Linked DNA regions of Oreochromis niloticus. The protein of the gene in region 1 interacts with the protein of each later gene in a pairwise test. Links are inferred from orthologs where the notes say so. Each region holds a gene or a part of one and is shown in the gene's direction. Other genes may lie near its edges. The genes, in order: cib3, trim2a and enox2.

The links.
Region 2: the proteins of cib3 (region 1) and trim2a interact in binary tests that used the Homo sapiens proteins (3 or more experiments, as listed by UniProt). The two-hybrid records come from large-scale screens. The link is inferred for Oreochromis niloticus from reciprocal best matches to the Homo sapiens genes CIB3 and TRIM2.
Region 3: the proteins of cib3 (region 1) and enox2 interact in binary tests that used the Homo sapiens proteins (3 or more experiments, as listed by UniProt). The two-hybrid records come from large-scale screens. The link is inferred for Oreochromis niloticus from reciprocal best matches to the Homo sapiens genes CIB3 and ENOX2.

Annotation. Positions count from the first base shown.
Region 1 is NC_031982.2:23,282,920-23,290,573, reverse strand, and holds the start of cib3 (calcium and integrin-binding family member 3), read left to right. Parts: upstream 1-4,624; 5' UTR 4,625-4,669; coding exon 4,670-4,720; intron 4,721-5,389; coding exon 5,390-5,424; intron 5,425-5,880; coding exon 5,881-5,992; intron 5,993-6,506; coding exon 6,507-6,654; intron 6,655-7,654. Other genes in the region: admp (anti-dorsalizing morphogenic protein), read left to right, coding at 1-89, 178-297, 397-586, 1,071-1,492. UniProt on the Homo sapiens protein: Acts a an auxiliary subunit of the sensory mechanoelectrical transduction (MET) channel in hair cells. Plays a role in regulating hair cell MET channel localization and function.
Region 2 is NC_031971.2:13,887,935-13,895,727, reverse strand, and holds the start of trim2a (tripartite motif-containing protein 2), read left to right. Parts: upstream 1-4,784; 5' UTR 4,785-4,889; intron 4,890-7,793. UniProt on the Homo sapiens protein: UBE2D1-dependent E3 ubiquitin-protein ligase that mediates the ubiquitination of NEFL and of phosphorylated BCL2L11. Plays a neuroprotective function. May play a role in neuronal rapid ischemic tolerance.
Region 3 is NC_031966.2:17,190,773-17,197,684, forward strand, and holds the start of enox2 (ecto-NOX disulfide-thiol exchanger 2), read left to right. Parts: upstream 1-3,826; 5' UTR 3,827-4,006; intron 4,007-6,912. UniProt on the Homo sapiens protein: May be involved in cell growth. Probably acts as a terminal oxidase of plasma electron transport from cytosolic NAD(P)H via hydroquinones to acceptors at the cell surface.

The DNA of each region.
Region 1 (7,654 bases):
GAACAGAGAAGATTCTCGCTGCAGAGCTCCATCTTTATAAGCTGAGACCTCAGGCACCCTTGACGTTAAACAGACATCACTTCAGCCAGGTATGTAGACCAGCTGTAGACCGGTATTTAAACCTGAGTGGCTGAATGGCTGTTTCTAATTCTGTCTACATTAATTTGGCTCTTTCAGGTCAGTGTTTATCAGCTGCTTGACTCCAGCACAACCAATTTTACGCAGAAGAAGCTGCTTTCCTCTCGACTCATCCCAGTGCACTCCTCTGGTTGGGAAGTCTTCACAATCACACACGCAGTAAGTATCACCGACTCTTTAAAGCCCACAAATATCTGCTTTGAGCTACACTGGACAGTGGAGAGTGCTGAAATAAACCGATGACCTTTCCTTCTGAAGGTGCGCTCCCGGATGGTTGATGAGGGCACCAACCTGGGACTTCAAGTGGTGGTTCGGACACTGGGAGGGAGCCAAATGGATAAAAAACTGATCCGCTTTGCCTCAGGGCGCCACCACCATCACAGCAAACAGCCCATGCTGGTTCTCTTTACTGATGATGGCCGCTACTCTAATCCTCTTGCGAGCAAAGGTGAGATTTCTACTTTAATGTCAGTTACTCCCAGTGATATTAATTAAAAGTGAAGATAGCAGCCTTGTAGATAAGATTTAAAGTGGTTAAAGGGAAACCAGCCTCCAGTCTCTATATTCATAAGCACAGCAGCCTTAGTTTTAGTTTTAATGGAAGAGTGAACTAAATGTTCACTGAGGTCAGTGCTGACAATATTTCCATCCACATGTGCAACCAGTATTTTGCATGCTTATGAAGGAAACACTCACGTACGACTGGCCTGTGACTGACTGGGAGTATGCTTACAATTCAACAGCTTGATGAAAAATGAAGCTTTCAGTGTTTTGTGTGTCCCACTTAAGGGCTTTAGATGTTATATTTCTTTGCACTCTACATTCAAACTTCTAGATCTACTTGTCCATCACTGCTTCCTCTTCTGTTTATGGAATGTACTTAGTAACAGTTCAAACATTGCATTTTTAAAACAGTGGATTTCTTTCTCCAGATTCAGATGATACAGCAGAAACTTCCAACCTGCCCCAGACTCCCATGTCCGGTCCACCTTCCCGTAGTGCTCGATCTCTGGGCTACGATGCAGATGGTGCAACCACGCACTGCCAGCGGTTTCCCCTCAACGTAGACTTCGAGGAGATCGGCTGGTCGGGCTGGATCGTATCACCAAAGGGGTACAACGCTTACTATTGCAAAGGCTCCTGCCCCTTTCCTCTGGGTCAGACCATGAAACCAACCAACCACGCCACTGTCCAGTCCATCATCAATGCCTTGAAGCTGGTGAAAGGCATTGAGACGCCGTGCTGTGTGCCCGACAAGCTCTTTTCCATCAACTTGCTCTTCTTTGATGATGATGAGAACGTGGTTTTAAAACAGTACAATGACATGGTGGCTGGAAGCTGTGGGTGCCACTAACGTTAACTAGTCACTGGTATCGGGCTGCGAAGATTAAAAACTGTAAACATTGTAAATAGAGCTTGGTCAGCTGACCCTGGAAACTTTGACTGCAACTATCATGTGCCCAGTCCTACATGTGACACTGTAGTATATGTAAATAATGATAAATTATAATATATGAAAGTAATTGAAATGATATTAAATAATCAAAGGAATGTTAAATAAATTTGTAAATCTGTATTTTTTATGTTTTGTGTTGGGATATATTTGAATAAATATTGTAAATGAAAGTCTTGTTTATTGGCCCTTGCATCAGTCTGATGCATCAGTTGTGAGGCTTAACAAAGCTTCACAATTCAAACCAACCACCAAAAAACAAAAACTCTAACAAATGAAATATGAAAAAAAGGCTTGTAACCTTTTTGTAAAGTATAAATTTAACTTGTTGACCTGCTATGATTACAATGGATGTAATTTCTTGTTTCTTAGCGTTCACCTTTCTCTCCTGCCTTGCCTTCCCTTGCTCATGTCTATATTTATTTTATGTTTCTAATACTTCCTGTTTTTTTTGTGATGAGTCTTTTTTGTGTGTCTCCAGTTACTTTAAGCTTCCTTTATTTCCACCCCATGTTTTCCAGCTCTGTGGACTTTTATAAGTTTTCAAAAATCTGTATTAAAGCTCGTCTTTTGCCTTTCAGAAGTGTTTCTCTGGCTCCTCTTTTTGAGAAAAGTAATCCCTAACGTTGTGCTAGATCAGGCTCATCAGAATTCAGTATCGCTAAATAGTTCATGTTACGATCGCGTTATTATGTATACATGGATGCATGTAATGCATTTTTTATGGCACTATACCACCACTTGCAATATTAATGTATCACTGTATGTAATGACAGTGAAGGCATCTTATCTTATGTCATTCATCTGCACTGAGTATATTCAGGCTGTTTGAATACTAACTTTACAAACAAGAGGCCTCCACTAGCCTACTGGACATCTTCCTTTTCACCACTAGAGGGCACTGATGTCCAAAGGGGTTTCCCCGATTAGGTAAGAATTGGGTCCAGTGAGCACAAAAGGCCATCCTCCTACAAACCATCCTCTTAACAAAAGACATTCCTGAAATAAGAGTATGTATTTGAATCTAAAAGAAAAACATACATTTAGCTATACTTCTCCACAGTCTTGTAATAAAAGCCCTTATTGGGAAGGTTATAATGTCTATCATAGTCCCTGTTGTTTGGTTTGTTTTGGAATCAATTATATATTTACAATGGTTATAATAACTATACTGGTTATGGTTAAGATTAAGTTTTTAAGGGTGAAAGTAAATCTTAGTTAAACAGCAAACATAGAACACAATGTCTTAGGTAAATACAGTGGTAATATAATATGACTAAACAAATAAATTAATAGCTTATCAAATGTGATGTAACAGCAAAATGTTATATGTTGTTATATGATGATTTTAAAAAGTATTCACACATTTACAGTTAAACCATTTTCCTCTGCAAACAGTAATTCTCATGAGTTGCAGTGTCCTTGACTTTTGTTGTTAATGTCAGTAAATTAACTGTTGATTTAAATAAATTCCTCTTGCCACCCAGTTATTCTTCACTAGTTTAGATGTTCCTCTCATTGCTTTGAGCCCTCAGATTTATCTTGTTAACTCTCTCTCCATAGAGTATAGCAAGAATCAATCCGGGAATATAAATCCTTAGAGCACGGAACAAAGGCAAACAGAAAGGTGCTTTTTTTTAAGCCTTACTGACCACTCAAAACAGTTTCCACTAAAAGCCACAGTGAGTTTTTTCACACCACATTGTTATTCTGCTTTATCTACCTTGCATCCACACCTACTGCTAATTTAGAATCACCAGTTAAACTAACGTGCATGCCTTTGGACACATAGACAAAACTACCAGAGCTTTCTGCTGCTGGAGAAAAAGATGCTCATGAAATAGGAGCATTAGAAAAAAGACAGAATATGCTGGACTATAAATAGAGAGTCCTTTAAAGATGCCCCATCAGTACAGTAAGGTATGTGTTCAGCTGTAAGATGGCACAGCTCTCTGTGACCTCGTATAAAACGCATCACAAGCTAAAGTCAAAGTGTTAGGAAGCTTTCCAAGAATTAGACTGATGTAATGTCTCTGTTCATTTAATGTCTTTTAACAGCTCATAGGTGTTTATGCCGTGCATCATAAGCATTGGTGTCTGACATGAATTATGATGTGGTGAATCATGTGGTATGGAAGACAAAAAACACAATATTTTCTATAATAGAAGCATCATTGAAATTGTTCTTTGGGGTCTTTAACGGGACCAAAGAATCTCGGGTTGTTGCAGACAGATGTGGATTTTTCAAAATAAAATATATGACCCAAAAGGTTTAACCTTTATTGAGCCTTTATTTTTATGACTGCAATCACTGGTTGTTCTGGTAAGTTTCATCCTTATTACTCATCCTACCTGGAATAGAGTGAGGTAAAGTTGATACTGTACACCTGCTATTATAAATCATAATTGCAGGATCAAAGGGAAGTTTTATGTCTGTGCCTCAAGGTGTTTCTGCACTCATTTTGTGTGCATACAAGTCAACACAAGTTCAGTTTTAAGTGAGCTCTGTAACACTTAAAAGCTAAAACACTTCACAACTTTCTTTCTATCTATCTATCTATCTATCTATCTATCTATCTATCTATCTATCTATCTATCTATCTATCTATCTATCTATCTATCTATCTATCTATCTATCTATCTATCTATCTATCTATCTATCTATCTATCTATCTATCTATCGATACAGCAATTAAGTTCTCAACTGAAACAAAACTTGTCTCCCATCAAAAACTCTATTTGCCCACTACAAAACCCTGTCTCTAAAGAGTGTAACCTGAGCGGTGAACAAGGCGTTGGCCATAGAGTGCCACCAAAGGGGGTTGATACCACTTGGCATGATGCTGGACGACAGCCCTTATTCACTGTCAAAGGGGTTTCTATTCACAATGGAGAAAACGATGAAATGCCTCCATTATAGTGGGGACCAAAGGGCCCTGGTGCAGCCAGACACCTGATCTCCTCTTTGGCTCTGGCTTCCCTTTGTCAGAGTATTTCATAACTAGCATACCCACTTTAAAAAAGGACTTGATGCTGGAGCAGCGATGGACCTGAGACTCTGTGTTTCTGCGCTCAGACATGGGAAATAAACAAACCATCTTTACGGCACAGCAGCTAGATGCCTATCAGGTTGGTATCACTCCTGTTTCTTTATGAATTAATTGATAAGGCTCACTGAGAATGAATGGAGATACCGTTATCAGTATTAGCTTAACATCTACGAACAAGATTAATCAGACCTCTTCATACTATTAGCAAAAAAGAAAAGGATCCTACCCCATGTGGTGCAGCACTTCCTTTGCTTTGCTTTTGACTTGCATCATTATTGATGGAAAAAAACTCTAAGAAGTAATTTGAGGTGCAAAGTTAGAGATGTCATATGGTAAATAAATGGTAAATGGTAAGTAAAGTATTTATAAACAAAGTATTTCATTTGATTTTTGGTGCTCCTTTAATGGAGAAACTTTGTGTGCTTTAAATGAATATTTACACAAAAATAATTGCCATTAAAAAAAGTATTGAACTTCACTGCTTTGATCAACCACAACATCACCATAACATGCTGATACATAACAATAATAATAATAATAGTAGATCACTTTGCCTGTGCTGTAAGCAATTGATAATTTGCTTCCAAAAATTTACTTCTGTACTTTACCAACTCTACTGTTATAATTACAAAATGCATAAAATTGTGTAAAATAAGTGTTTTTTATTGATGTATTGCTATTACTGAGTAAATATTATACACATCACTGTATGTAAACAGCTTACATTGAATTTAAATTGTATTTACAGGACTGTACATATTTCACAAGAAAGGAAATTCTGAGGTGAGCCTACATTACTTCAGTTATTTTGTTTATACTTCCTGCTTTATGACATCCCTCCAGTGCAGAAAAGATCAAACCTAGATAACTAAACATGTACTCAGGATAAGTTGTGTTAGATCTCATTAATCTCCTGAGTCATTGCTTATGTAGCATGCTTGACAGAGCTGAATTTTGTTCTATTCTGCACAATACCATACTGTAACTCTAAACTAGACTATCAGGACACCTGTCTTGATGTGGGGCAGACTGCCACTGAGATCACAGGCTATTTTTACTGTGCTGGAAAGTGTGTAAGTTTTGAATGTTTTCCATTTTCAAAATAGTGTCCGTAGCTGAAAAGCAAATTCTTAACTTAACTTTTCCTTTCTAACTTGTCCCTTCAAAGTCCAACTCTACATATTATAGGACATATCTTGTAATTCAATATTGATAGTAAATTTTTTAAACCTTTCCTAGACTCTTCTACCGCTATCGGGATTTGGCACCGCAGCTCGTTCCTCTTGACTACACCAACCACCCAGATGTGAAGTTACCATATGAGCTGATTGGCAGCATGCCAGAGCTGAAGGTAGTCCCACTGCACTACACGCCCTGCAGACCTGCGCTCTCTCCCTGTGTTCCCAATCCATAATTAATGACCAATTAATCGACAGAATTCTTTGAGCGGTTATATGTTACCCGACTCCTTTAAACTTGAAGGATGTTGGTGGGTCCCAGAGGACACACTTTTTGGAAATGGGTCAATTATATGCCTCTTTACTCAGTGGCAGCAAGGTAAACAGGTGTGTTAACAAGCTGGTCACTGACATGCCCCAAGAAAGGGAGAGTGAGTCAGTCACGATCAGGGTCATGCCCGAGGTTGCCGCTTATTCCAAGCTGTTGTGATTACTAAAGATAATTTTATGATTCTATTGGATTTCAAACAGAAAAACAAAACTTAAAATCACAAACAGCACAGTTTTGATAGAACAGGACTAAACTGCAAGCCATCACATCCAACAAGCAGAAGTTAGTTGTGCTGAACGTTTGTGTGTTCACGCTCTGATTCTTTATTAGACTGCTGTGGTGTCCTGTTTGTTTAGGACAACCCATTTCGACAGAGGATCGCTGAGGTTTTCTCTGAGGACGGAGAGGGAAATATGACACTGGACGACTTCTTGGACATGTTTTCTGTCCTCAGTGAGATGGCTCCACGGGACCTCAAGGCCTACTATGCTTTCAAAATTTATGGTAAAATATCTTCATAAACCAGGGATGCTTGTCATTGCTTTTGTTTTTTTCTTTAAAACCAATGTTAATTCCAACCAATTTTTAAGTTTTTGCAGTTTCACAAATCATACTGTGCATACTTCACTACACTCAGTACATAACAAAGTATGTGAATAACCCTTCCTACTGCCACTGCAAGCTGAAAAAATACATTTAAATGTTAACATTTTACACCAAATAAGGAAATGTTTCATGTTAAGTCTGCTCTTCACAAACAACCATGCACCGTTTACATCTGTTTGCAAAAGGCAATCATAGAAACAAAATCGCTATACGTTAATCTGCAGAAAACAGCATTGACTTAAGCTTATTATTAGTTAGAATACGGGCAAATTTAATGTTAGAGCCATGCAGATATACTGCTGGATTTTCTGCAACTGATTTGAGTTGTGAAAGAAGATGTTTGGTTTCCAACATCCCAGACAGCAGACTGGAGTTAAACATATCTTGAAACTTGCAGAATTTAAAGAAGCGGTTTGTCAGTAAAACTGAACTGATTATCGTGCAAAAAATGTATGATGAAATCATCAACAGTAATGTATATTCATGCTGAAGGGTTATGGATCGCTAGCAGATGGTGAATGGAAAGTTTAGGATCATATACCAGCTCCTTAAAGCCTCGGTTTAAAAAAACAGTTGACAACTTGTGAAACTACACACGTAAGATGAGTGAAGAGAACTTTTCATTCCTTATTTAGACTAACAAAGAAGATAAAAGCTTAGAGGGTAACATAGTTACACTATAATGAAAAGGATTGATTATAAGAAAACACAGCTTTTCTTCATTAAGTTAATCATACACTAAATATTTCAGCCACATTAACAAAATATAAGATGAAAAAATTTAAGTTGTCAGCTTTACTGAGTCACAATTGTCCAAAAGCAATATTTAAAAAAAACTGTCTTTTGTCCAACCAGACTAGTCTAAAACTAAAATATGTTCAATTCACAGCCAACAAAG
Region 2 (7,793 bases), on another chromosome or scaffold:
CCTGGGATCAGACACAACAGGCGTGGTCCCGTACAGGACGAGGACTGAATCAGTATGCCTAAGAACGGAGTGAGTCGCAACCTCTGTAGCCTCTGCATTTTTACTGCAGCAGTTGTTTCTGCAAGTAAGAAGTTAACATGAAGTCTTAATATTTGCATTTAGTTTTCTCTGATGTTAAGCATCAAAAGCCACAAATGAAGCTGTAAAATGAAAATCACCTTTGGGAATTTGGAGCTGATGCAGGGTCATCTGCGGTTTGATAGTTTACTTTTTTAACGTCATGTGTTATTAAAGTCAGAGCTTTACTACGCTGCCCTGGTGATGACCTTACTCTGTATCACTTTAAAGGACATGCTGTCACTGCTTATTAGTCTCCCTCCATCACTGTGACCTTTAAATAAGCGTGTGCCTGTAAATGCTGTCTACAGCCCATAACAACATGCTAGGAGTTTCATACTCATGTACTCATACTTACTACACCCTCAGGGATTACCTGTGATTACAGCACACAGATTAGCTGCCGGTTTGGATGCAACTGCTCAGATTTTTGAAAAAAATAAGTGAAGCAATCAATGACCCTATAAATACAACCAGTGGGTTAAAAGTAAGTCGGTAACAGAGCGAGCGAGAGTCAAGAGCTGATCTGAGTGGGGCTTTCTTCTGTCTTCAGATCTTCATTACATGAAGATGTGGTGAAAGTCAAGCCCCCAGACTGACCTCACAGCACAGAGAGGAAGTGCTCCGGAGAGAAGACTGGAACAGAAACATGAGGTGAGGGTGTTTTTCATTCACTGATATAAAACATCTCCCTCGTGTTAGTTTACTCAACGCTTTTCAAATGATGTGCTGCAATAAGACAAGACAATCTTTGTGTTTATGAACCAACGTGATATTCGGACCATATTACCTTGTGAGTCACTCAGTTTTTTAAATTCTCCTTTAGTCCCTAAATTGCAGTCTTTTACACTCACCAGACACTTTATTAGGTACAGCTCGATGTTACTGGGTTCCCTTTTGTGGCATAAATTCAACAAGGTGCAAGATGTCTGCAGCATCACACAGTTGCTGCAGACGTGTTGGCTGGATCGGACATGTTTAGCAGCAATACTCAGGTGGGCTGTGGTGTTTAAATGATTAGCAGCTGGTAAGAAGCGCTTTTCTGGTGTGAATTGTAGCCTCAGTTTCCTGTTCCTAGCTGACAGGAGTGGCACTCGGTGTGGCCTTCTACTGCTGTAGGTGTGCCTTCTTAGTCGCTTGACACAGTCTGGCCATCCTTCTCTAAACTCTCACATCAACAAGGCATTTATGCCCAGAGAATGACTACTGACTGGATATGCTTTGGAGATGACAGTGTGGGAAAATCTCAGCAGACCAGCTCATCTGACGTGAACAACCGTGCCACATTCAAAGCAACTTAAATCACCTTTTTTGCCCGTTCTGCGGCTCGGTTTGAACCTCAGCAGGTTGTCTTTACCACGTCTAGGTGCTGCCCTGTGATTGTCTGATTAGATATTTGTGTAAACAAGCAGTAGAACAGGTACCTAACATAGGTGCGTGTATGTATTCTGTTTCAAGCTTTTGGTTTTACTACACCACAAACATTTTGCTGTTCTTTAGTCTTACTGTACGTCTTGTCAGTATCGGTAGATTGCCTGGTAACTGTGCAGTAACTTCAGTGTACATTTGCCTGCAATAACCTGCAATGATGGCCAAATTAAAGCCTCACGCTGGGCATTTGTAATGTCTCAATCATGTGTTCCAACAAACAGCATGAATGAAACAAAAGAAATGTTCAATTATTCAGCAGCCATTCACAGAGCCCTCTGCTAATCCGGCCATGCTCCACTGAGCTAATAACAGCAGCAGGTGCGGGCAGCTGTGACCGGTGTGATATGAAATTATGGTCAAATGGTAAAACTCCAGTCTGGCCTAAAAATAAAAAGCACTCTGCCAGAGCATGGCCACACTCTAGTGTGGACTTTATTTACTGTTTCTGCTCTCCTGTGAAGATTTGATTTTAAAATGAATCAAGCTTTTTTTCTGGTGACATCAATCGATTCACATTTTTATGCCAAGCTACATCTTGTTGTGTTATTTGAAAACTAATTCAAGCTGCTGTCGTGACTCTAAACCAAACACTGAAAGAACCAAAGCAAATCAGCCGTGGAACTGAGTGCATGGTGTTTTTAAGGTTTAAGTTCTGAAGTAATTGGACTTTTCGTAAATATTTGATGTTTGTATGGCCATGTCAGCGCCTTAATATTTACTTTAAAGATTAATGTTAGACTTTTTCAGTCCATTATGTGCATTTAACACCTTTATTTTACTTTTGTGTACTTTTGGTGTAGATTTAAGTAAATAAGAATTAATATAAAAATAAATGCTGGTTACTGCTGATGCTAATGAGCTTTCGCTCACGTACTCTGAATGTGAAATTTTACATGCACTGGTGTGCTTTTGTGTTCTGGTGCCTCTTCAGCCTTTATTAAAACTCTTTTTAGGCTGTCACTGTACCGCTTTAGCTGTGAGGAAACAGAGGTGGGATGCTGAGAAGAAAAGGAAATCTTTGCACTGGGCCTGTGATTGTGCATCGCATGCTAAACAGGTGCCCTTTGACTGTGGCACACACACACACACACACACTGCCTGAGTTTTCTAAAATAGTAGTGAGGCCTTCAGATGCGTCACCCTTCCCCCACCTCTGACGCACACCAGACAATAAACGCTACACAGCCTGTTCCTGCATCAAACGCAATCATTAATGGAAAAGGAATGCAAATAACGCGATTCTTTCTTTCTATTTAATCTGAAAAGAGTCTTTCATGGGCGGCTGCATAATGTAGAGTTGCCATGCAACAGCCTCCCGCATAAAAAAGGGAGGGGCTTGACAGGAAACCACAATTACGACTGGCGCTTGGACGCCCATCAGGAGTCCTACTAGAAGCTGGAATTATACGACCAGCTTACATTCTTTTTAACTCAATAAAAAAAAATCTTATCTATTTATTGATTGATTGGATAAAAAAAAACAACATCCAATACAAATCCATCCATTAGATTTCTTAAACCCTTGTCCTGTTCAGGGTCAAGGCATGGCTCAAGCCTATCCTTATTGTATGAAGAGCTGGGAAAACTCTAGACAGTTAACCATGGTATAGTTAAATATTAGCCCACAGACAGCTTAGTTTAAGCCATCTTAGCCTAATTTAAAACAAAATGACAGCTAACACGAACATATCTATTGTTATATCGCCTGCTGGTTTTGGACTCTGCATTTCGAAACCTCAACAATGGCCCGTTAGTGTTTTGTGACAGACGTGATAACATTTGAAGGAGAGCAGGAGCTAGCAAGCATAATTAGCAAGCTACACCCATGACCTGCAGAGGTGCCATGCACAGACACATAGTTGGTTACTTATGGAGGGCCTCGTTGGCCGAAATGAATGAATTAAATAGAATTCATTTTGGCACTCTAGGCCCTCCGTAGTGGTTCAGTACCACACTTAGAGTAGACTAATACCAGAACTTTACTCCTTAAAACTTAATCAAACTTTGCGGCTGGTCTGTAGCGCACACATAGCCCTGACATAAGTCAGATAATTCTATAACAAATGCTTCAAATGGCTCCAGCAGCACAAACACTGTGAAGTTCACTTAAAGTTCTCCTCACACAGAAAACTATCCTACAGCTGTCTGTGTTTGCATACCCAGCTCCGAATCCAGTTATTAAAAAAATCACTTCACTTCTCTGCAGACTTGTGAAGCTACCCGCAGAGACCAAAATCCCATTTTGTATCAGACTGTAAACTTGTTTGTTTTTTTGTTTTTTTAATTCTGTAAAGTTAAGCATTTTAAAATAGGATTGACTCACTAATGGATTTAGCCTCAAGTGGCCGCTAGAGGAAATGCAGTTTATGACACTCCATATTTTAGCTCCAGTGGTCACTTGTCTGTTATCTGGTGAATAAATAAAATAGGGTCACCTGTAAAGTTGAATGAATGAATAAATAAATAGAATATTCAATTAAAAATCTATATAGTGCCAAATGACAACAGCTGACTCAAAGGCTTTATATTGTAAAGAGGCTACAATAATAAATACGGATGTTAGCTAGCAGTTGATGGACGGCTGACGATTTAAAGTTTGTTTGTTTGTTTAATTTTTTTGGCTAACTGTCCTTTGTTTTATTTATTTCAATGTATTTTTTCATAGTTACTTTAAATATTAAATTACTAAATGTGAGATGTTTGCCTCAGAGAGTGTGTAAGGAGGGTTTTTTTTGCCACATGACAAAACTACGTTAGCTTTTAACTTACCCGTGCTTCCTAACTTTATACTAAACTATAACCACTGGTATTTCTTACCTAAATAACCCTAAAACCCCGGTCAGTCAATGTCTTCATGCAACTTTTGGCAACGAAAATAATTATTTTATTATTGTGTGTGTGTGTGTGTGTGTGTGTGTGTGTGTGTGTTTAAATTATGTAGAAAGCCTACTTTTCTCTTAAATGTATTGTGGTATTAGGCCCGATTCCCAAGTGATAAAACAACAATAAATACTACAAACAGTTTCCTCGGTGAGCCACAGAAGTACCAAACACTGAAGCAGAAATAGAAATAACTCTTTGACAATCGGTTATTTTTACACGTGAATGCATTATTGATGAGTTCAGACTGCCTCCGGATGCTGTTGCCTTTCCCTTTTATTGTCAGCGGATCCCTTTAATAAGTGAAGTGGAAGTGAGTTGAAGTGGCTCTCGGTTCAGCTGTAGTGTGAGCGCAGAGCAGCACGGAGCGGAGGACGGAGGGAGCTTAAACGGGAAAATCCCAGCAGATGACGATAACTGCTTGAAACATCCTCAGTTTCCGCGGATAAGTCTGCCTTTAGGTAAGTGGAAAACATCAGCTGTGTCTGAACCAGCTTTAGGATTTGGCTTAACGCAGTCAGAGCTTCAGAGGATTCACATCTCTGTGTTAAAATGAAATGCATCCAAACATATAAAGTGCAGATGTCCAGCTGCTGGTTTAAGAGCGCAGGTCTGCAGCGGGACAACAGCGTGCCTACGTCCGCATCTTAAATCTGCGAAAACTTGAATGAACCACTGATGCGCTTGTGGTGAGTGCTGGGGAGGAAGGATCGCATGAGTTCCGAGGCATTGTGGGATTTTGTTTGGCGTTTTCAGCGCGTGTGTTGTCTGCACGTGTAGTTCTCTGTGAGTATTTACAGTTTGAACTTCAGGCTTGATCTTGAAGTTTAGCTGTCACAGCGCAGAGTCTGGCATGAGTAACGCTGTAGTCGCCGCACTGCACCTGATTCTCTGCTGCTTGTGACAAGCTGCTGTTATTTCTGCAGTGAAACGTGTCTGACCGTCGGATTCATTGAGAAGTCATCTGATTTTAGCAGGATTCATTAAAAACACTGAGATGAGAGCATTTCTGCAGATTCGGATGAGTTAGTGATTTATTTAAATAAAAACAGTAACAGTAATTTTTCAGGGAATAAATGAAATAACTAAATCTTGAATTGACATTTTGACACCATATACACCTGGTTGAACGGTTTATACACTGTGTGTTGATTTTAGAAATTAAACACGCTAATAAGTGACCCTTGGACTTGTGCTCTCCCTCTGCAGTCAGTTTACAGATATAAGAAACTTGAATTGAATACTAAATGAATCCTTTGATCAAAGGTGACCAGAGAAGTCTTTGACTCTGTTACACTGATGGGGTTTTACATTAATTTTGGGAGTTTCTACGACATTGCCATCATTATTCACAGTGGACTGTCTCAATGGCTCATCAGCAAGCCACATTCATGTCATTGTCATGGATTAAAGTGTGATTACATAAGCCTGCCCTCTCTGTCCACTCCTCTCTCTTATCCTGGCTCTGTGCGACAGAGTCTTTGATGTCCGAGCAGAAGTTTTCCTATGGCGGGCTGTTCTTTCTGTTGTGACATCAGAGATGCTTCAATGCAGTAAATGGTTGTGGGAACAAAAAGTAGAAAGTGGTGTGGTAAGGGCTGCACAATTCTGCCACCGCTGCAGTGGAGCATCATCCTCGTGCTAATCGGGAAGTTTTGGAAGGAAGGGATTCATCTTCAAGCTTCTTTTTCCCATCATGTGACTAAGTGGCACCGGAAGCCACGCGTGCCCATCCATCACATCCCACCTGATCGTGAGCTGTTCTGAGCCTACCTCATCGTTTTGATTCAAGTTGACATTAGTCTCATCTGTCCAGAAAAGGTAAACTGGGAAATGAAACGTGTCATCTGGACTTTGTGTTCTTACGTCTGATGAATAGTTTGTTGAAACCTCTGTGATTATTGTTGTGAATTCTTCTCTTCATGGGATTATTATGTGCCTAATCATATAAAAAGTGAACAGTCTTTAGTGAAATGTAAAATGCATTTTGTCGATAAACGTGTTTAATCACTCGTGATATTTAAAGAATAGTTGAGGTACGTTGTCTTGATACGCAGTGTGTAGTGTCAGCAGTTGCAAAACACTTATTTTCCCTCAAATCCACCCCTCATTCTCATCCATGTCAAAGAAATTACTTATTTATTACTTATTAAATTACTTAGAAAAAAAACTATGAATAAGCAATAAAGTAGCACACACCTAATAGCAAGTTACATGACAAAACATCTGTTTAGCCATAAATATATAGAAAATTTTAAGATCATTTGCAACATAGATACTCATTAAGGCAAATGTAGCTTTGTTACAGTATCAATCAGCAAATAACCCTGATATCGACTGACATATTTTTCCATTACATGTCGGCTGGTGGTGTTAGTATTGATGTTTTTCTCGTACAGTGACTAAAACCCCCGAAGGCTTGCTGTTCTGCACTGTTGCACTGTGACATTGTCACCCCTCAGGATCAATGGACCCAGCTCTCTGAGCTCTGCCAGAGCTCAGAGTCTGTGTGGTTAAAGCTAAGTGATTAAGCTAGAACAACAACCAGCTTAGTCACTCTTTACTCGGTAGTAGCTCTGAGTGTATCTGAATCATTTCTGTGACTGCAAATCAACAGGAGAACGAAGGACTTCTGAGTGACATCGTTTTTGAAAGGGCAAACAAACACATTATAGATTATGTACATGAAGTGTGTTGGTGAGCCTATTATTAGTGCTGATGTTGCATGGTGTGTCCACCAGGGGGCATGCTGCAATTTTCCGCACACAACAACTAACAGCTAATCCGAGCAGATTCAAGCGGAGTGGGAATGAGTAAATAAATAATTACACGTACCAAATGATTGGAGAATCTGTTTATGTGTTATAAACAGGTTCTCCAGATTCAATACATATTTAATTTTTAAATTACCAAATATCGGTATTTGTATCGGTCATAAAAATCCTTCTGATCTGTTTCTGATCCAGCATGCAAGACTTAACACTATCTTTTGGTCATCTCCAAATAATGAGGACCTCTGAGGTAATACTACAAGTTAAAGGCAACGCATATTGTAGTTATATGTGCATGTGCATGTGAAAACCTTTTACTTACTGTCTTTGAACATATTTGCACAGAGAGGCATTCATACCATTATGAGCATTAAGGCTGCAAACATATATATTTTGGGTCAAGGGTATTGTTAGTCACAATACAGGATACATAGGATACAATAGTGATGACATCATACGTCTTTCTTATCAAGTCATGGACAGTCCCCCCCCCCACCCTATCATGTGACCTATTGAGGTCACCTGACGCAAGATGTGAGTGGAGGTTGAAAGGAAGGGAGGAGATCTTAAGACTGCAATGTAAGAGGAACCTGA
Region 3 (6,912 bases), on another chromosome or scaffold:
GCAAAGCCAATTTGTGTACTGGGTCATTTCTTTCTGTCGTGTAAGGAAAGAAAATATTGATTAATGATGAAAATTCAGTAGCTTAAGCTGCAAAAAGCATTAGAACCTTTTAACAAAATCTGAAATCCACCAAGACCTGATGAATGAATGTGGTCAAAAAAATACTAAACAAAAGGAGAAAAAACTCATGTAAGGCGTCCTTGATTTTTTTTTTTTATTTATATATATATATATATATATAACAAAATCAGAAGAAACTCTTGGAACAACTCCCCAAATGTCTACGAATAAGACAACAAACTTACAATAGTGACTGCACGAAGTACAGTGAAAACAAACAAAGCTATATGTGTAATGCACAAGAAGTACAGCCTTATGTTGTGCAGCTGACGCTGTGCTGCAGTGTCTAATTGAACCAACCTACTGGGAACCAGGTAACAGCCCCTCTCTCCAGCTGGGAGTGACATGTTAACAGGGAGTATTCCTCATTTGGGAATATTAATGGATCATTAAACATTAATAGGTCCCTCGGATCAGTATTTGCACTTTGCCGTACTCCCCCCTTTAACTGGCGCATATGTGACATAGAGAGCTATGATAAGTATTCATGCCACATCACACTGGAGCAACAGACATCAGATGGAGAGCAAATAGTGATTACCAGGTAGTGCAATCTCATGCAAACAAACCAAGCAAGATGAATTCATACTAAGTTGTCAAAACATGTCAAATTTCACCATGAGCCTAAGGGGAAAGGGTGGGTGCAAAAAAGCATTAGCAATGGAGTAATTGGCATTAAATTGTCCAAAACACGTAATGATGTGGGAGTGAAATGCATGCTGGCACATATAATAATCCCCTTGTAATGAGAATTCACTAGATATCACTGGCTTTGTTCATGCCCCAGCATCTCTGAAAGAGCTTAGCCACTACAACAGTAACAATAAGCTGTGGAGTAGGAGATGGCATGAAATACAGCTGAGAGCAAAGTGAAATTGCACACAAAATGAAATAATTTGCTTAATCAAAAGAAAGGTGGTATTAGAGACTTTAAAGTGACTTGTCCATTTCTCTGCTTTCGGAAGATTAAATCGAGACATTTAGCAGATAACTCTGTCATCTTTCAATGAGGGTGCACTTTAAGTGGTGTGCAAGTGACAAGAATCAGCTTTGAGCTTTTTTTGTTGTTAAAGATTAGGATGAAGACAAAGTAAGCCTTGCAAATCCCAGGCTCAGATACCACAAGGACAAAATGAGAAACGATGACAGCAAATAAACCTGTGACAAACCAGAATGCTTAGAGTCCAGCTTGTCATTCACAGTAGCTTAGAGAGGAAAGTTTGGATTTGGTGGAGAAAATAATGATGTGACTTACTGAAAAGGGCCAATACATCTATGTAGAAATAGTCTATTTAACATCAAAGTGTTCAGTTTGAGACGCATAGTGCTGTCATATGAAAAAAAAAAAATTTCACGACTTCATGCAGTCCTGTGAAAAACAAAGTACACCTGTATTGGGTCCAGTTTAATCCAGTGGCACAGCCAAAGGGTTTAGTTTTTCTAAAGGGTCATTGTACATTTTCAAGGGGTCATAAGATGATATAACTGATAAGAAAAATTACAATAAAGTTCTGCTATACACATTTGTATTCTGTGTGTGGACTAATGAGTTATTTATTTATTTACAGTGTTACTTCTTTGCACAATAGAAAATTAAAGGTGAAATCACACGGAGGAAATCATGAAAACATAAAGACATCCTAAACATCACAAGGAGTCCCCGGCAACCCTTAGAAACTGTGAAGCACGGGTATAACTCGAATTAATAAAGTTTGTTTATTGTATTAAAAATGCTTGATTATAATATAGAATGGAATTACTCAGCTAATGTACCACATAACTCAGTAAATGTGCTTGCTTTTGACCACTTCGCTTCCAGTTTTTGTTTTTGCAAAAACAGACTTTTATGTATGCTTCAGGATTTTTTGAATAAGTAAATGTGGCAGAGCTGGCTACACATATTCTGTGGACACATATTCGTTCTAATTCCAGAGAATAACTGGCCTCTGCAAGGATAACTCATTCAACTTTAAATTTCATCAAACCCATCTGCATAATGGTTGGGTATTAATTTGAATTGGAATTTAAAGTGGATCTATTAAGTAGCCACAAATGAATAACAGCAGCTTAAGGAGATGATAACGACTTCTGATAAATGCACCAGACGGACAGATCTGTCTTTAAAATAAAAAGGAACAGATAAAAAAGATTTGTGGACCCAACTTTAGGAGGTTAGAATTATACATATTTTTGCCTAATTAAAAGAAAATCCATCCAAGACATAAAACGAAGACAAAAATTCAGTCCATCAATCCTTTTCTGGAGGTTCTGGGAACACTGCCTGAATAATAAATATATAATACATCTAGACTTTGATAGCTTGAAGCTCTATATAACAAAGAAAAAGCTGTATGGGATTCTTGAAATTCTGCCTTGAAATAATTTATATACGCATGTCAATGCAGCCTGGATCACAGCACAGTATGCAATAGGCATAACCTATTGATAAGAATCCAGCTATTTGCATATTCTTATCCCCTATTACTGAACAAATACATAAAACATATGCTAAAGCACAAATAGAATTGCCATCTAATAATAAGCAATATTATAATCCATTTGATGAGTACTTTTAAATAATTCATTTGCATATTTAAGAATTAAGTCAAGAACAAAAAAGTCTGCAACAACAAACGATTGTCCTATTGTTGTCAAAATGTTGCTTTAAAGCATTTTCTAATCTGCCAGGTGCAATTCTGTTAGACAATAATTAAAGCCATATGATTGCATTCTAGTTCTGTTTATGTGAACTCCTCTTCGCGTGGTTAAACTCCCAAGCAAATATAATTAGAAAATGCAGGCCATGTTAGTGAAAATCTAAGGCCCATTCTACAGCTTCAGTACATTTTCTGTCCCCCCCCCCATAAATCTGAAAAATAATCTGTGAGCAAAATACTAAGATAAATTGCACTTATCGTAGGACAAGACGGACCAAGATGGAAACCTAGTTGCTGAAAACGTGGTTACAAAATATCATTTCAAATAAATACATTTTTTAAAAAAGAAAAAAAGTGCAATTTTTCTCTTGTTCCAAATTCTTGACTAAATGCATTTCAAATTAAAATACGTTATGAATCTACTTTTTGGTTGGTTTTGTTATATATGTATGTATGTATATGGAGCAAGCAACCACTACAAACACATGTTGAGAACATATGGAATATTATTAATCTTATTATATTATTATATATTACACATTTATGTCATAGCCTTGTGCTCCCCTATAATGTTACTGATATTATTTTAAAATTTTCATATGAATATTGTATCTGAGTAAACATCTGACAATAAATACTGAAATTAAAAACACGTATGACTACTGAAAGTTGAACAAAGTAGATTTCCAAAGTTGTTTAAATTAATATAACTATTTAGAATGAGAGTGATTATCATGAACTTAATGGTCAGGAACTTATTAAGCTCAATTCTGATTTTTAAAGGATTAAAAAAAAAGTATTTATTGATTTATTTGTTTGTTTGTTTGTTTGTTTTAAAGGACAATCTAGGCCTAAATACGTCTTTACTTTTAAAAACAGTTTTGAAGGAAAGCTTAACTCGCCAAAAGAACATTATATTACAATGCTGGTTCCTTTTAACAGTTTAAAGTCTTTGGTGTGCTCTTATTTTGACGGGACACTCTCCCCTGACGCTCAGCTGCAAAACGAAACCTTCCAAAACACTAAACGTCAACGAAAAGCACGTGTCAAACCTCCCGCTTGCCGTACTTGGCTCCGCCATTGTTTGACAGGTCTCGTTGCTAACCAGAGGCTTTCCTGGTTACCAACTCAACAACAGCGAAAGAAAGAAACTTCCAAGCCTTCCATGGCTTTATAGGAAGCTTTTCGACAACACAGAAAGCATGGAAGAGGACAAACGCCTTAGACAGGTACTTTATACTTTCTCCCTCATTTTCTCTTTCACTTCACCGGTGCTAACTTCCGACATCAGTAGTTCGTGTTAGCTTCTGTTTTGGAAGTTCACAGCGAAGCACATAATGTGTTTTGAAGCGCACAGAGCACTTTATTATCTGAAGCCATGCTTTTGTTTCAAAATGGTAGAGTAAACTCGTTAAGTTGGCTGACTTTGCCACTTATGAACTGGGTTGACTTGGTGTTTAATCGAGCTGTGTGGAAGCGTAATGTTTTAAAGCGTCTTTGGAGCATCAGCACGGGAAGTCCAACCGCTAAGTCTGTTTCACAGTGAAATACGAGTCAGTCATACTGCTGCTGAGTTCTGACCGCAAAGCGTGCGCCGTAAAAATGTTCCTCTCCACGCCAAATAAACGCTAGAGGCGGAGCGAATAATAGTCTTGTAATAGTCAAAACCATTTACTGTGATTTGCAGCGGTGCTCAGGAAGTTATTTTGGGTGCAGAGAACAGTTTATTGCAGCAGCCAGTGCAGGCTTTAGCAAAAGCCTGCAGGTAGGGAGACTTGCTGTTTGTTACCGGTTTTCTTTACTGATTTTCTACCTCATCTTTTGTCACCGTAAATTAAAGCAAAACTGTCCCACAATAAAATACTGGGCATACTTGATTACGATAGTAAGTACTTAGATTGAAGTGTTTTTGTGTTAAATGCCACCATTGCTAAAGCAACTTTAATTTTGGAAAAGCATGGGAAGTTTGATTGGCGTGTTGCTTGAGTAAGGTTTCATTAAGATTTGTCTGATCCTTGTTTGGCCCTAAAATTAACTAACATTGCTTGGTTCTTTATTCGTTTCAATTACGTATTATTTCTATAGCACCAGTTCTGAACACTCACCTCAAGGTGCTTTATATTGTAGAGTTAAGACCCGACAATATTTGAAAGAAACCCTAATCAGACGCCCCCCTATGAGCACACACTTGGTGACAGTGAGAAGGAAAAAAAAAAAAAAGAAGAACAGTTAAAGTTGGGTCCTTTTAACAGGAAGAAACCTTCAGCAGAACCAGACAGAGGGTGAGGCAGCCATTTTGCTTTGGGTGTTTTGGGGTTGAGGAGAAAGATGAGAGAGCATAGAAAGACAGGACAAAAGGCAAAGAGAGAGCCGGAGCTTAGTAATAATTAGCAATGATTAAACGCAGCAGTGGTATATAAACACATAGAAAGTGAAATGTGAAACAAAAAAGAAGACTAAAGAAATGTTCAATACATTATGGGAGGCACTCCAGCACTCTAATGCAGCATAACTAAGGGAGGGTTCAGGGTCACCTGATCAAGCCCTGGCTATAAGATTTATCATAAAGGAAAGTGTCTGTCTCCTGAATTCAAACCAGGTTTCACATGAGAGGGGCCTGGTGGCTGACCGCTCTGTTTCTCATTCTACTTTCTAAAACTGTGAACCAAAAGTAAGCCTGCAGTCTGAAAATGAAGTGCTCTCTTAGGATAATAAGGTACTATGAAGTCTTCGAGGTATGATGGGGCCTGATTAATCAAGATTTTGTATGTGAGGAGAAAGATTTTGAATTCAGTTCTGGATTTAACAGAGAGTCAATGAAGAGAAGCTCATATAGGAAAAATATGGTCTCTCTTTTCAGTCCGAGTTAGTACTCTCTCTGCAATACATTGAATACATTCATTGCAAGCAGGTGGTGAAAAAGTGCAGCCACAACTGTACCAATGAAACTGTACAGAATGAAGAATTGCAGATGTATTATTGTCATGGTTATCCATAATCAGTAATTGTGATGCAGCCAAATTCCTATAAAAGGCTATATTGCGACCATTACTAGTCCTTGTGGTCTTTTTAAATTTTGTATTATTTCCTTATATTCCTTTGCTGTTGCTCTGTGCTTTAAAGCCTTGGGATAATAACAGTTTAACTTGGCAGCTGATCTATAAGCCAACTTATAGAAAATGGGTGGAAAGCAAACAGCTGTTCTTTGGCAGTAGAAATTAAGGAAACCAGTGTGGGCACTATGCAGCAAAACAGCTTTATGTCCGCTGTGTGATTGAAATGGAATATCAGAATCAACGTTGTTGTATTTATCTTAAGTGGCCAGGTATTGCTCGTAAGTGGTGAGGTTGTCTCTAAAAATATGGAGGATCATTACCTGAGAAGGCTCTACAAATACATTAATTTCCAGAGGTTCATGTTGAGGTGCATTTCTTTTAGGGATGCACCGATACCGATACTGGTATCGGGTATCGGGGCCGATACTGTAAAATGTGTGCGTACTCGTACTCGTAAAAGTTAACCGATACCATGAACCGATACTAATGTAGCCCGAATTTGGGTGTAGATACTCATAATTCCCATGGACTTGAACGCCACGGTAACATAAGGTGTTCACAGTTATGTGATGTAACTGTACCCTGAATTTAATTTGCCCTGTAATATGTCACAAGGTAAATACAGGTAATTAGAGCAATCAAACTGTTATGTTAATCATAAAGTATTATTTTATGGTATGTAACTCTGAAGGGAGTTAAAATATTGTTCAGAGTTCTAATTTTCTGGAGGCCCGTGAAGGTAGCATAAAACGGGACCTGTGTATCTGTTGCAATGGAGGAGGAGAAGAGAACGGCATGGAGAGATGCACGAGGTTAGCTGAACCAAAGTGAGAGACTCGGCTAGTTTTACTGAGGTTAACTAGCACAAAAGAGTGTGTAACTAGAAAGCTAACCGTGTGGGAGCTTCGCAACAGAGTGTGGGTGAAGTGACTTTTTGTTTCAACGGTCGCACCACCGTGGAAAACTGTGTTTCCAGCTACGATCGCCGAGGCTAAAGGCTAGCCCGGATTGCTTGGCTGCACCACGGAGGCAGCCGCTATGGACTGTCGGAGAGCTGGACAGTGACGGGCTAACGTGCT